Linked DNA regions of Drosophila melanogaster. The protein of the gene in region 1 interacts with the protein of each later gene in a pairwise test. Each region holds a gene or a part of one and is shown on either strand. Other genes may lie near its edges. The genes, in order: ckn and smal.

Evidence for each region.
Region 2: the proteins of ckn (region 1) and smal interact in a two-hybrid assay, tested with the Drosophila melanogaster proteins (one large-scale study listed by BioGRID).

Annotation. Positions count from the first base shown.
Region 1 is NT_033778.4:14,961,263-14,965,190, reverse strand, and holds the start of ckn (caskin), read right to left. Parts: upstream 1,900-3,928; 5' UTR 1,266-1,899; intron 1-1,265.
Region 2 is NT_033779.5:6,177,261-6,181,188, forward strand, and holds the start of smal (smoke alarm), read left to right. Parts: upstream 1-1,872; 5' UTR 1,873-2,439; intron 2,440-3,928.

The DNA.
Region 1 (3,928 bases):
CTAAAGTACCCAAACTGTAAGATACTATATACATATGTAAATATTAGATACTATATAAAGATTGAACATATTAAGTTGGGCTTCAAAAAGATAGAGCCCTATTTATACGTTCAATGTTCCTATATATAACTTCAAGTTGTAAGATATTAATAGATCGTTCAACTTGGTTTACTTTTCCATTGCAGCGAGAAGATTAATGAGAGGGAGTGGGGACAGCAATTGATAATCTCCTTATCTGTCCCACTGTGCGTTGAATGCCACGCAAAAGACAAACAAACCGAGGCACGCACACACACACACACACACACACACAAGCGAATGAACCAAGCACAACCACTTTTCATGCCGCACAAGGCAATAAGAGAAATAGAGAGATGGAGCCACTTGGGGAGAGAGCGCAAGAGCGAGCGAGGCTCCATCGGCGGTAACTCTATTTGAGAACCGCGCAGCTGCATGCTCTCGCTCTCTTTCTCTGCCTCTAATCTCTTGGTGGAGCCATTGCCGCCCGACTCCCCTCCCCAACCGTTATTCTAACACTTCATTGGAGACAACGACATCAAGTCATTTGATTCCCACACAAATCTCTGCATATTGAGCGCGGACTCTCTCTACATCTCCAGCTATCTCGCTCTCACTCGTTTTATTATGGCAAGTGAGTTATGGTTTTTCCGGCTGTGTGTGTGTAAGTGTGTACTGCTGCGCTTTCTATTGATTTATATGAGTTTTATGGCGCAATCTGAGCTATAACAGCCAAAGAGCAGAAAAAATTTACGTAGAGCGCTGGTCTCGATTTTAATTATGGCAAGGGACAATTATGCAAACGGAGAATTAATAAAAAAAAAGGAAAACAATAAAGAACAAGACTTTAAGTTTTATTACACTCCCACTACTCACGACCAGAGTTGTCACGTGTCGTTCGCAATGCCAGACACGTGTTCGTTTATTAATTACATAAGCCTAAACAGCGGCAGCTGCAGTCGTGAGTACCCCTCCTCCTGATTGTCTTTTGTTTCCTCTATTTTTTTGTTGAAAACCCAATTTCCTGCAGATGCTAAAGATGCCGCATTGAATACAAGGCGCATCGAAACAGCTGGCAACCCTCATAAGTGACAGATGGCGACGCCGACGTCGACGCAGGCAGCGCAGGACGAAGGCCGCATCAAAATAAAAACACAAAAAAGAGTTGCCGCCTGTCCGAAATGTACCAAAAACACCAAGACCCATTTAAGTGTAAACGTAATTAAGTGTACATATTATAAACTTACGTTAGCAGATAATATTACTATTTTCCAGGCTTTTGGCTAAGTTCTCTCCGCTCCTCCTCTTACCGTTCGACAAATCACATAAATCACAAGCGTAACGAAAGCTGGCACACAAAATGTAAACAATGTAAAACGCTCGTAATTGTTGCTTTTGTAGCTTAATGAATTTCACGTTTTTTATGGTTTTTTCCACAAAAACAAGAGACTAACAAACGGCATCAAACGCACGCAGACACATCCACTCGCACCAAAACTCACTGTTTGTTGTCTTTATTTTATGTCTACGACGCGCGAGTAAAACATAAAAACCAGATTAATTTCAGGCAGACGAAAATGTTGACGCTTTTTTTTTTGTTGGTTTCTTTTAAGCTGAATTTCTTGCTCAGTTGTTGTGGTCGCGAGTGCTCTTTTTTATTTGCTGAGCCGCCATTTTCTTTTGTGGCAATTTGTTGAGTTTTATTTATTTTTTTTATTTTCTCAGATATATTAAGCACTGCTTTCTTACTTTGTAATTATAATCACTTTACTTTGTTGTGATATCCGTACTTGTGATATATTTCGTTTTTGAATCTAACGACAAAAGAACGGGTTTCCGCTACAAACGTCCGAACAGCGGAAAAACGAAAACAAAACTTAGTGTGATCGCAGCGTGGCTGTTGGAAAATACCTCATTAATAAAACATCGATTGCACACAAAGTATTGACGTATCGATGTTTTAGTATTTTTGGGTCATCTGCTCAGTTTGTGTTTTGAAGTTGATGTTATAATCATCAAAAAATAATGTCTTTTGTATTTTTGCTTTAAATAGTGTTGTACGTACAACTTTTTCATTTATCACCGGTCATAATTGTTTTCCACCCCTGAAACCGGTGTGGAAGCTCAAAAATACCAATTATTTAAAAACGACCCCTAGCAGTGTTGGTAAACATGTTATTATTGAGGCACTTGCAGCACTCCCTTGTCGGTATTTTCTGTGCTGTCACTTCGCGTTCTCCGCTTTGTGCTCTCCTTCCACAACGAAATAAACGGAGAAATAGCAATGTTAGTTTTAATTCGTTTTAGCCATAACAATTAATTAAACGAGTGCGAGTGCCAGTGTCTTAATTAAAATGTATGTGGCGCACTGATTGGCTTTAATTTAAATGTTTCGTGCTGTTTGATTTGTCCCCTGTGTTATATTTGTGCGGCGTTTTGTGCATACTTTTTGTGGTTAAATAAACTAAAGGAACCAGTGTGAGTCGATTACTAAGCTTAAGCTTATTAAAAGTGTTAATGTTAAAAAAGCGGCGTCTTAATTGAAAAATGCTAATGAGTTAAAACAGGTTGGCGACTCTCCTGCTCGCTCTCGATGCCCTGCCTCCACTCTCTCTCTTTCTCGCTCATTTGTTGCACTATTGTTGTTGCGGCCAACTGGGTACTTTTAACAGTTACCTTGGTCAATGTACGGCATTAATTACGCTCAAATACTTAAGTACTGAGATGCCAAGTAAGCGGTGAAAGAAGGAGAGGCGAGGAGTAAAAATAAACTAATTTGCACACTCGCTTTGGCGTGCTAATTCCACTTACTTTTCTTCTTTTATTGTTTTGTGGGCGTTTTGCATGATTCACTCGCGTTTGTTTTGTCTTATTCGTTTTATCAACGTCTACGCATTTGGTGCAGCGCAAGCAACAACAACTACCTGTGGCATGCAGTTCGTTTGGCGTCTGCGTATGTGTGTGTGTGCCTCAAATGTCAAAGTTGACATTTGGTTTTGGGCGGGATTTCAAATTCGTGGGCAAAGAGAAAACGATAACAGAGAGAGCAATAGAAATTCATAAGTTCGTTTATCTATCAGATTCTGAAGATAATGCTACGACACTTTACAGTTAAGCTTCTACAAAATAACAAATCCTTAAAAAAGTTCAGTCAATGTATAAATATAAATATATTTCGCCACTAATAGTTTATTAAAATATATTTTTTTATTTAAACTAGAAAATAAAACTTACTTTTAGCTTAATTTGTAATTGTAAAATGTCTTTTTAATTTATTTTACTGTAAACCGCTTCGTTTTTAACTCGTATCTATTTACTCTTATTTTTGCAGTTTTCTGTTATCAATCTGTTTGTCTCTGTGTGTTACGTGATATCAAAATATTTTACCCAGCTAGCAAATGCAGAAAATGCCCTCGCAAATTCTGAACGACGGCAGCAGCGTCAGCTTGAATAGCGCCAGTATGAACATGGCCAATACGCCCAATAGTATAACGGTAAAGACCGCCTACAATGGCCAGATTATCATTACCACCATCAACAAGAATATCTCATACGAGGAGCTGTGCTACGAGATTCGCAACATTTGTCGATTTCCTCTGGATCAGGTAAAATATATATAAAGTACTGCACGTTACAGAAGTGTAATTCATTGAGCGTTTTGTTTAGCCATTTACCATCAAATGGGTAGATGAGGAAAACGATCCCTGCACCATATCAACGAAAATGGAATTGGACGAGGCCATACGACTTTACGAAATGAACTTCGATTCCCAGTTAGTCATTCATGGTAAGTCTGCTCAAAATTTAAAATTGCAAAGATACGTTAGAGTAATAAATAAAAGAAAGTCGAGTTATTGGTTATTATTGGTTAAGGAATTTCGATTGTAATTTAAGTTCGCTTCTAAAACTG
Region 2 (3,928 bases), on another chromosome or scaffold:
ATGGATACTATCACAGCGTAAACCAAATGGCGTATGTTTGCTTGTTATATTTGGCTATCAGTCCAGATGCATTGGAATGAATTCTTCATCAGGATCAACCGTCGTGTCAACAGCTATCGTTCTTGCACAATAGATAAAATACAGTAATGGGTATCTGATAGAATTTTTAATCTTCGAAAGCAGTCCATCGAGAATGTCAGTATCTATAAATACTTTATGGAGTGGGAAAGGTCTGGGACAATAAACAAATGTGGCAAAAGATACTATGCCAGTATCGCAGCATGGGGTTGATGTATTCACAGAGTCCTTGAAGGCTATGTAAATATTTACTCGTGATAACGCAACATTTGCTTGTTCTATCTATGTATGTATTTTGTATATCTATTAGCAGCGCTGAATGCATTTTTGTGTAAATTCCTGATCATAACCATTTGGCCGCCGCTCATCCGCTCGTCCGCTGATTTCTTTGACTGCCGGGCAGGCGAACAAGCCGTTTGACAGACAGCGCATGCCCAACGGCTTTGGCCGGAATGGGTATGAGTTATGGTTGGAAGTTGGCAATGCTTCTGCTGTCTGCTGTTTGTTTGTACACTCGGATGTGACAAATGGCCAATTGATAGGAACATGCAAAGAGTCTATCGAATAAAACTACGTACAAAGTTAAATTGACTACAAGACAGAATGTTTGATTTGCTGGAGTTGTCCTGTCAATAACATTTACATTAATCTTGCAGAATATTTGTATATATTTTTAAATTAATATCCAATTCATAGCTTTCTGGGTGTCTGTAATCATAAAATAGAAGACAAAAAACATGTTTTTTTTTTTTAACTAAGAAAACAGACAAAGAGACAGAAGAAGTACTGCTTTCATAAACAGTCACCATATATGATACAAATTGGTTACGGTTTCCAGATAACGCCTTTCCAAACGCTGTTCGCTTTTCGATAGGCGATCTGGCCCGGAGCGATATCAGTTGATTAGCGGCGATCCACTCGAGGAATTCGTTGTGGGCCCCTCGAAATTGTGTCACCGAGTCAAACATTCGAAAGTGGCGAAGAACAAAGGGTCGGATCAACTGGTGAGACCAATCAATCAACCCACAACCTCTGCGATACAATCTACAAGTGCGTAGCTATAAATCCCCATGCCCCACGAAAACCGTAGAGTTCGTAAATCATACATGTCCATATGATATGGTGCACCAATGTGACAAGATCGCATTTCTCTGCTGGAAATTATGACAAGTTGTATGTGCGATTTCGGCTTAATGCCGGCGTCAATCATTGGAAATTCATCAGAGGCCGCGATTGGCGGCGGTCCGCCATTTCCAATTTGGACTGCAAGGCGGATTCGCCGGAAAAAGCGAGCGAAAGGAAAAGTCGGGGAGGGTAAAAACAAATCAACAGTTCGAATTCGCTCTTGTTTTGTTCCACATTCGCCGCAGACGGAAATCTCTTATACGAGCCGGAAGAGAGCGGAAAAACTCTATCGGATTTGGAGTTTCTCGGCGATTTTCACAGAGCACAGGTGAAGTGCCTGGGCCTGGGCAGGTAAATTCAACTCCATTGTGGATAATTTTACTGAGAATTGAAAAACTTAGTTTTTAGCGCAGCATATACAATATAAACTATACTGTAGCTTAAATGATAAGTTTTAAGGAAACAAAAACATAGAAACAACTCCAAATTATGATTTAAATGTTAATTTGATAATATAAATCCTTGCAGGTCCTTTACAGCGCTCTCCACACATAAACTTTGTAAACAGTTCCACCGACGAGCGAACAGAGTCCACAAAAGAGAAGCGCTCGCTCTCTTAGCATCCACACTTACATGCAACGGAGTGGTGCGCTGCACGTTACATTCAATCGGATTCAATCGCTCGTCGACCTTCGTGCCGCGCGTTACAAGAGTCGCAGTCGCTGTCGCAGTCCGCCGTCTCAGTCTCAGTTTGTGCCCCCAGTCTCAATCCAGCTCTCGTGACAAGAAGAACAGAACGCCTTGGCCACTGGCAACGCGGTCGCGAATCAACGCAGTTACCCATCTCAGGCTTAATCGGCTGGCAGCCAATCGCCAAGAGATCCGACAGATACGGATACGCAATCCGCGCAGCGCGAGTGCAGAGATACGAATTGGTCAGGAATAAGATACGGTGCAAGTGGCACCCAAGATGCGGCAATTGTGCACCTGCGGCCGCCAGCAGCGTGCGGCAAAGTGTGTGAAATGTGCTACCTGAGAAAATGCCCACGGAGTGCTCAAACATATCGAAACAAACCAGCAGATAGAGTATCTTTTGCTGCCCCAGTGAACAACAGTGCTTGAAATTTTAGTAGAGAAATCGTTGTTTTTTGCTACAAACTAAAGTGCAAACGGAATACAATCAATATACACCTTAAGTCAACGCAAAGGCTAATTCAAAACTCTTGGAATATTTAGGTGAGTTGAGAGTGAAGAAAGGCCTAACTTGAAAACAATCAGTGCTCAATGCTCAAAGCAATCATGTCAATAAACAGGATTTCCCCATAGAGACTTTGCAATGCATAAATAAATATTGAGTTGCAAACAATCAATTAGTGCGACAAAAACAAGTTTATGTCAATTACTAACTAAATAATTCATTTATCCGAAAAGAAACCAGAAGAATATTGGCCCAATCAAATGTATCTCATCAAGGCGCATTCCAGAGATCAAAAGATATCATTTCCAACCCGTTCTCCCCATTTCTTACGGTGGCTGTCCCCTTGCCTCATTAATTAAACACAAATTAAGAAAGAGCCAAGCTGTCAACATCTGGGGCTAATCAAACTAACCTGCTGTATTTTATAAATAAGAAGCGAAGAAGAAAAGCGGCGGCAGGTCGTAAAACGCTAAGATACTGCCCTTATCTCCTAAAGAAAGATCTTTCTCCGAACACTTTGTGCCTCCGACGGCTGTTGCACACAGATTCTTATCTCGCAGATGCAGTTATGTATCTAGATATTCCGCAGTACAACCTCAACCTCGAGTCTTTGGCAACTTCACACTCCGCTAGACGCGCAACGAGGCCCCTGGATTTCATAATTTTCCCGCTGTTCTGCGGGGTAATTAAGTAGAAGTATGTTTGGCAATTAAAGTTCCAGAGACCTCGCTTTCGCTTTTTCCCCCCGCAATCATCAGCTTTTGTAAATAACTCGAGTTATTTTTCTTGCTCACTTGGGATGGTTTAGAAATTTAAGATTGAGATTGGGCATCCGATGGGTAGCGATTACCGCGAGCTGCGAAGATGCAGCCGCAATCGCGCATGCATAATTAATTTCGTGTAAAAATCATAATTACACCAATTAAAATTTGTGTAAACAAGTTGGCAGCAGGCGGGCGAGTCCCTCAATCTGCCCCAAGCGCCGTTTGGGGCGCAATCATTATGATAATACCGCTGAAAAAACTTTTCGTGGTCGATTGCGAGGGGAACTCTTTATTGCCATTGTAGAAAAAGTTGGTGGGCCCAGGCGGAATTGAGTTGGCTATATTATGGTAATGAGACGTTTGAGTATGCCTCCAATGAACAACAGATTTGCCGCAGATTTGCCCAATCTGCTTTAAACTGCGCCTAAAACCCATAATTCGATGTGCGTGAAAGAATTTAAAGCACCGAAGTTCATAGATGCATCCACATAGCTACCATTAACAGGTTGTATTCAATATTTTATTCAAATCTAACTAAAATACTAAGACAGCAAAGTGATAAAATTGATTAGCAATGAAATTATGAAATGCAATAATCGCTAGTTTTATTTCATTGCCACTGAATCCGAAAAATACGTTATTCATTCAAACGTTGCGTTGAATAAAATGTGAAATATGTTTGTGGAATTAAAAAAGGTGTATAAAACTATATTTATAAATATACAAAGTGTGCAGCTTGGAAATTCATGGGAATTATTATGAA